Lonchura striata: one gene and its partner. The protein of the gene in region 2 interacts with the protein of the main gene of each other region in a pairwise test. Links are inferred from orthologs where the notes say so. Each region holds a gene or a part of one and is shown on either strand. Other genes may lie near its edges.

Region 1 (3,913 bases), on a different chromosome or scaffold from region 2:
TAAGCTCAGGCGTAAGGTTCCCCCAAGTGAGTTCTTCGCTCAATCAATACCCACAGTATTTTAAATAGGCTGTGTTATACTTTATGCCATGTCATATTTTTATGGGTGGGATTTTTTCCAGCACTCTGCTCTAGAAGTAATTCCTACTGCTCAACTCTGTATGCAATTTTGTACTTAAATTGGTTTAATAAATTATGGGATTCCTCAAAACACTGAAATTCCATTTGTGATCAATGCAAGTTTTGACCACTGCCACTGGGCAGGGATTGTCTCAGAACAGCATGTTAATAAGCAGAGCTATTTTTTCCCCTTATTTTTATTAGTTTTTCTCACTGAAAATACTTTTATATTTATGTGCTATAGTAGTTAAGAAGGTAGATAAAAAGAGCTGGAGATATTTTAGGGGCTAAATCTTCAAACCCTGGAAATGAGGCTTGATTTAAAAGTGCCTTCATACTCCTTTTACCCCAAGGAAATCAGGATTATGGTACTTCATCTTCCCATCCTTCCCTCAGCCCTTGTATCCCTCAGTAGCTTTTGAGCCCAGTGGCAATTTCCAACACTTCTGACAGAGGAAAGAGAATCAAAGCAAGTCCCTGCAAGTCACCTGTGGCTGGTTAGGGAGGAGAAACTCAGAGTGGTCCCCCACCAAATGCCACATGTGTGCCCCAGGCTCACACCAAAACCACCAAGACCGATGCCCACGTGGTCTGGCACCAGCTATTGATGGCTTTTCCCACAGGCAGAGAGGTATTTGCAGGGCATGGAAGAGAGTGGGAGAAGGGCAATGGGTGCTGGGATCAGCATTTTGTAAGGGATGAGCAGATCTGAAGTTATCACAGGAAAGTGGGTATAAGGCAGCCCTTAGGCATTTTGGCTCATGGAAGCACGTATTTCCAACAGGCAATATTCTGTTGTCTATATTTTCTGTGGAAATTTTTGTTGTTGTTGTTTGTTTTTTTGTTTGTTTGTTTTTTCCTAAAGGGATCACTCAATCTATGGTGGGAAGGGCAGAGAAAAGAGAGAGCTGCTTGCATTAGAAGTGACGCTGCCCACTCTGGTGGAGGAAAAGGTCTTCACATTTCCACGGATCAGATTCTGCAATTACACAGCTTTCTTGTTTGGCCAGTTCATCTGCTAAACCTGACACAGAGCCAGAATGCAAACAGGGATTTTTCCCATTACAAAATACCAAATCTATGATAAGCCACGCCATGAAAATTCAGTTTTTAAGGAGGTGGGGAGAGAATGAGGGAAACTCCAACTGCTGCTGCAAGATAAGCAATGAGTTTTGCAGGGCTCCTAGAATCTGTCAGGGATCTCATTAAAAAATTCCCTAAGCCAAAGGAACACTGTGGGAAGAAAAACAACAGGATTTGGGATAGTAAAATTTAAGCAGATGTTTGAACCAGTTTTAGCCTATGAAACATCTGCGTGATAACTTTGGACACAGCTGGGTAAAGTCAGTAATTGCTACAGAAAGAGGCCTGTGAATATTGAACTTAACCTGTGGGTCTGTTCTGCACAGCAATGCAGTGAATATAACTTGATTATGTTTGTGCTTTTTGCTTAAACTACAAATTCCCCGACTATGAAGGACTCAAATCAATCACCTCTTCTGCTTTTCACTACCATCAAGTTGTAGTATTAAAATCTATTTATAGATGAAGTAACAAACATCTCTGAAAGGAGAGTTATATACTGACAGCTTGGAAAGAGACTATGCTGGTTTTCTCAAAGATCTCCTAAAATAGGATACATTCTCAAATATTATTCCTTAAATAGGATATATATATTGTAATTTATGCATCATTTGCCAAGAGGGACAAGATTGTGATAGCATATATCTATATGTATATATATATATATATACACATATATATAGTCTTAACTGTAAACTGCAAAGCTCAGAACTTCAAAAACTAACCAAGAATACAAAGTGACAGAGGCTGAATCACATTTGTTGCCCCAAAACACAGTGGATTTCAGTGCATCCCTAAGGCTTCTTATTTGCCAAAAACAAGACAAAAATCAGAAGCAAACAAATAAGTTATCTGAATAAATCCTGCATTGTCCCAATTTCATGAGCTGCCCTCTAAGCTGCCTGGCAACCATCCAGGCCTGAATGACATTCCTGGACAAGAAGTAACCCACGCATCCCTTTTGAACTGTCCTCTCCTTGAGCTGCCTTCACCTCCCACCTGGCTGTCCTGCAGCTATCGATTAAATTTCTTTTAAAGCCCTTTCTTACCTGCATAGTGGTCAAACACAGTGGGGACGTACTCCTCTGGGAAGGCATCATTGGCATAGCTCATCAGCAAGCAGGTTTTCCCAACTGCACCATCCCCAACCACCACACATTTCAGCATCTTCTTGGTGTTGTTCCTGCTCCCGTCAGTGCAGTTGTCATTTTCCTCCTTGCAGTTCATTCTTGCTGCTGCCGCTGCTCTTGCTGCTCCCAGGACTTCCAAGTGCACATGAAGGAAAAATGAAGTGCGATTGTATTGACTTTTCCTGAGTTTGGAGAAGGAGGGGGGTGGGGGGAGAGCAGCAAATCTCAAACTCAGGAAATCATACTAATGTTTCCAGGCTGTCACAGCCGCTTCTAACAGTTACCAGATCAGTCAAGAGGATCATCGAGGTGAATAAATTAAACACACAGAGGGGAATATCATAGAAAAAAAAAAAAAAAAAAAGAGTGATCTGTCCTTTTTCGTTTGTCCCAGTCAGGAAATCCTCATTCTGCCCGGCCGTTCCCAGTCTTTATCACAACTTCAAAAAATATCAGCAGCCTGCAGCTTCGATCCGCGTCTCCCTTCCTCCAGCCTGGCCGCAGGAACCAGGGATTCCTGTTAAATCCACTCCATTTTCCATTTCATTTCTACATGGAGGAGAGTCTGGAGGTTTTTAATGGAGTTTTTCCTTTCTTTCTCCAGCTTGCTGTGTGTCAGGAAATCATGGGTTTCCTGCTGAATTCCATATTAGGATCAGTGGGCTTGTGAAGGGCTGCAAACAATGGGAGCTCTGTGTGTATTTGTACTTTGGAGGAACTCTGCCAGGACATGGAGAAAGGAAAACACTAGAGGTCCCCCTGCAGAATGAAGTTTTTTAGGCTCTCTGCTCCATCCAGCTGCTCTCCGGGCTGCCGGCCCCAGCAAGGAGGATTTGGGAGAATTCGGAATACGAGAGTGCTGGAGATGCACGGCCAGGCTGCGAGCTCTGCCCCTGTCCCAGGGATTCCTGCTGATCCCAGACACGACCTCCTCTCATCTCAAATAGGTATTTTCTCCCATTTGGGAAAGGGAAAGGGGGAGGTGGAGAAGCAGAGAGGAAGTATAGAGGCTAGATAATGTCAGCTTTCTGTCTCTATAGCTCTTTAAAGTGTTTGTTATAAAGAATAAATAACTGATTTTTCAGTTCACACACTCAGAAAGTTTCTCTTGCTTTTCCCTCATCCCCCCTCTTTCAAAAAAGACAGATTTTCCCCTCCTAATAAAAAAGATGGAAACACAGACCAAGACAATAAGTAAAATTAAGAGATAGAGAAATTAAAAAATTAAACAAACATAGAGAAATTAAAAAATTAAACAAACAAACAACCCCTTGTATAGCAGTCTGTGAAAAACCAGCTTTTAACTGCACGATTGCTGCCCCCTCCTCTGGTTTGTTCTGGTGCTTCACGTGCCTCCTAAATCTTCCCCCCATTTAAATACTCAACAATCTACATATACACGAAGGGCAAAACTTCCCGCTCCTTGCACAGGAAAGATTTTGCAATTTCCAGCAGAAATGAGCCAGACATTGACACAAACCCCAGTGCAGCAGCCCAGCACATCCTGCTGGCTGCATTTCCCCTCCAGGAGGCTGGAAAGCTTTGAGAGGGGGAAACACCCCCCTGCTGGCCCTGCACCGG
Region 2 (3,913 bases):
ACAGTTATAAAAAGACAAGACACTAATCAGCAAACTGGTGAAATTCATGCATTGAAATCAAAGCTGAGAGAAAAGGTCTCCTTTCAGAGCCTGGAAAAGGATAATAAAACAGTTCTTTGACCTCTCCAGCAAAGAGAGCTAGCATCAGTTTTCAATCCAGCGCAAGAAAGGCAGTGAAAAACAAAATAAACAAGCAATATATTTCCACTTGTGGCACTTATATTGGACTTGTCACGTATTTCTTCCTATATCCCCATTATGCACAGAAATGCATGAACTAAAAACCTCACTTTTCCCTACTCTTTTTTTTTCTGAGCAACATCCAGAGCACACAGTATTCCTCAGAAACCGGTAAAAGCATTCTTGCTGTCATGCTACAAGAGCATTTTCTTCTTCAAGTTTATTTTTGGCTTTCATTTCCAAATCGAAAAATGGCAGTTATATCATCCCATTTAAAGATGCAGGACTCAAAAAGGCTAAAAAAATTACCTGGCAGTTTATTGTCCAGTCTTAGACTCCAGCTCTGTTATACAGTACAGCTGAGAACAAATTCTGTTCTGTGGCACAAGACAGGCAATCCAGAGTTAAATAGAATCAGTATTTAAACATATTCAAATTCCCACCATAGCTTCTGTTCCCTGTGCAGAGATGAGCTTCATTTCTCTGACTTACCCACAAAAAAAATGCACGGGAAAAAGCAGTCTCCAAGCATCCAGTGGACACACACGCAAACTGTTCCACAAGGAGGAGTTTTTCCAGCCTCACCCTATAAAGCTGAGAGCAAGACCAGCACACCCACACTAAGAGATATTGAAGCAGCGACAGGAAGATGCTCCCTGCTTGCCCAGGTAATGTGCAACACCAGGAAACTCCCAACTGTAGAGAAGGGGGAGGTGGTTCAGTGAAAGGCATCCATAAGTCACTGGGCAAAGAGTAATTGCGAGCAAAGAAAACAAACATTCTTCCCTCTGTGCCCGATCCAGCCATTTCACCCTGCTACAATACCTACTTTTACTTTGAAAATGAAAAGTGTGGCTAACTGAACAGATTTTATAGTTGTTCTCACACACATACACATCTCATACATAGTTACCACAGAAAGTACACGCCTTACAGCCAGTCCCAAGCAAAAGTCAGGTTTTGACACCTATTTATAAATCTTGCTCCAGAAGAAAAAAACTCCTGGAGGCAATGTTGAAATAAGAATCAAGTAATGCTCAGCAGGAGCAGATGCACCGTGACACACATACGGATGGAGCCAGCTATTCCCAACAATCATGAATTTTAAGCCCTCTGGATAACAAAAGCAGCAAGACCAGGGAGTGCAGGCGTGGGAGAGCTGTGGATTGGGGCATTTCCATGCACAGTGGAAGACAGAAGCGCTAGTACCTCTGAAATCCCGTCCTGCTGGTGCTGCCTTCTCTAGCGAGCTCCCAGGTGCATTCAAGAGCACCCAGAGGTGCCAGCCATCTCCGATGTCCCTTCACTGCCCCCCACTCCCCAGGCAGAAGCCCCTGCTTTGAAGAAGGCTGGATTGAGACCAGCTGACGTTCCCTCCAATCTGAATTATGCCGCGATCCCAAAGTTCAGCTTCGCTTTTAAGTACTTTACTAGGAAAAAAGTCACGGTTTCGTACACACATGCGGGCGGAGGGGTTAAAAGACAAGCTCCCACCTCTCCATCCCTCCTCCACCAGCCACACAAAGCCCGAGGCTTCATCAACCCATCGCCCAGCATGGGTCCAGCTCCTCAATTCTTTGTGTTTGCCCAAAGCGCCCGCCCCTCCAGCCGAAGGCAGGACGGGTGCTTGGCAAAAACTGTGGGCTGAGCGCCGATTTCACCCCAGCCTCTGCTCCGGGACCCCAAACATGCGGCCCCGAAGGGCTCCCCGCTCGCAAAGCCCGGCGGCTGAGAACAACTCCCTTTGTTAAATGAATGAGTCGGGGAGGCAGGGGGGGGAAGGCAGGGTCAGTACCCTCTTCTACGAGAAAATTTCAAAAGGAGGAGGGAAGAGAAGGGCTGAAGAAGAAGAACGCACCCGTCCGCTCAAGCCCTGCGCAAACTTCCCGGTTACAAAACAAGCGAGGAAATCCCCTTCCCCGGCGCGGCGGCACTCACCTTCCGCCCGCCGCAAGGTGCTGCCCGGTCTGCCCGGCCCCGCTGCCCACGCCGCCCTGCCGCGGCCGGCGCCGCCCCGCGCCCTGCCCGCCGTGCCGCGGCCATTGGCTCGGGGCCCGCCCGCAGCCCCCCTGCCGCCAAGGTGGGCAGCCGGGCCGCGGGGCGGGACGCAGCGGGGCGAGGGGCGGGGGCAGGTCCCTGCGCTTCGCTCGGCGGCGGAAAGTTGCTTTGGGAACGGGAGGTACCTGCGCGGCGCGGCGGGAGCCCGGAGCGCCCCGGCGCTGCCCCGGCGCTGCCCCGGGGCCGCGGGTGTGCTCCGGCCGCGCTGCGGCTGCGGGCGGCTCCCGGAGCCCGCGGCTCCGCCGGGCAGCGGCCGGCAGCGGCGCTGGCCTGCCTGGGACGCAGAAGTCTTTGGCGATCACGCCATCAGCGGGGAATCGCGGCAATCGCAGCAATCGCGAGCCGCGCTGCGCTGACTTTATTTCTGCCGCCCGTACCGCGCTGCGCTATCGCGGAGCCGGCTCCATTGTGCTGAGGTCTGTGTGCGTGCAGATCCAAAAAAGGCAAGAATAAAACGGGCTCTGCCCTGCCGCTGTGTTGCACAAGCCGAGGCGTCTATACCTTATATTGCCGGGATCCGGGTGTCCCCTCTCCCCGTGTTCCGCAGCTTGCTGGAAACTTGTCACCCTAGTTAACAGGAGTTTTCGGCTCAGCGCTTGTGCTGCGCCCGGAGGGAAAAAGAGGAGGGGTTTGGCTGCACGTACAGCGCCGGGCTCTCGAGAAGAGAGGTGAGGTGTTCTCGGGACGTGCTCTCCAGAGGTGGGAAGGTGAAATGTTGAAGTGAAGCAGGTAGTTACAGGCAAAAGGGAGACGAGCTTTATACCGAGACAGCACACGACAGATAAGACAGCGCTGCCACAGTCTCGCCCTTCCCCCTTGTCCAACATTTATCAGTTGCCGTGATAAGTTTGTTCAGGAGCTAAACCAACAGAAAATTACACACACAAATTAACATCGCAAAAGTAAACAAATGGAGGAAGCGAGAATTCGAGTCTGGGACTGATAGGGAGAGTGAGAATGCCACAAAGCTGATTTCAGTCAGCTGAACCTGCTGTGGAATTACGCACTTCGAAGCACTTTCCTCTGTTGGATACATTTAACATTGGGCTCAAATCCACACACACAGGCAGATCGCATGAGCTCCCTCAAGCATCCTCTGCTCGCAGTTTGGTTGCAACATAAAGGTTTTTCTGTAGTTCAGGGTAATATGTATCAGTCCCATCACTTCAAAGACAGGATCAGACTGTGTCAAGAATCCCAGAGATACATGGGAGCTTACTGGATTGCTGCTGGGGGGAGGGAATGAACTGAGGCAAAAGCCACGTAGCTCAATTTAAATTCTGGATCCATAAAGGGGGCTCCATGAAAGCTGGAGTTAAAACACAAGAGTTACCCTTTGACCCTGAACTGAGAGCTGAAGAGTGACTTCCTTTTTGTACCATGCTTGAAATATCAAAACCTTTTCAGAAACATGAGTGAATGCTGACAATATTTAAAAAAAAAAAATTTTGAAGCCAGACAAGAGAACAGCCCAAAATACTCCATAACCATGCCTGTTTGACGAGACATGTTACCAAATACATTCATTCAACCACATGGAGAATAGATAAGTCAGGAAATTGCAGTGGTTGACCTAAGGCCTGGTCCATATACACTGGGTGTACTGCACTCTTCTGAGCCCCGGAGAGGTCCATCTGGGGTGCTGTGACCAGTGCCAGGCTCCTCAGTCCAAGAG

Evidence for each region.
Region 1: the proteins of PAK1 (region 2) and RHOJ interact in binary tests that used the Homo sapiens proteins (3 or more experiments, as listed by UniProt). The link is inferred for Lonchura striata from reciprocal best matches to the Homo sapiens genes PAK1 and RHOJ.

Annotation. Positions count from the first base shown.
Region 1 is NC_134608.1:6,725,642-6,729,554, reverse strand, and holds the start of RHOJ (rho-related GTP-binding protein RhoJ), read right to left. Parts: upstream 3,022-3,913; 5' UTR 2,430-3,021; coding exon 2,252-2,429; intron 1-2,251.
Region 2 is NC_134604.1:32,382,808-32,386,720, forward strand, and holds the start of PAK1 (serine/threonine-protein kinase PAK 1), read right to left. Parts: upstream 2,977-3,913; 5' UTR 2,740-2,976; intron 2,217-2,739; exon of another isoform or gene 2,039-2,216; intron 1,611-2,038; exon of another isoform or gene 1,390-1,610; intron 1,308-1,389; exon of another isoform or gene 673-1,307; intron 667-672; exon of another isoform or gene 490-666; intron 1-489. UniProt on the Homo sapiens protein: Protein kinase involved in intracellular signaling pathways downstream of integrins and receptor-type kinases that plays an important role in cytoskeleton dynamics, in cell adhesion, migration, proliferation, apoptosis, mitosis, and in vesicle-mediated transport processes.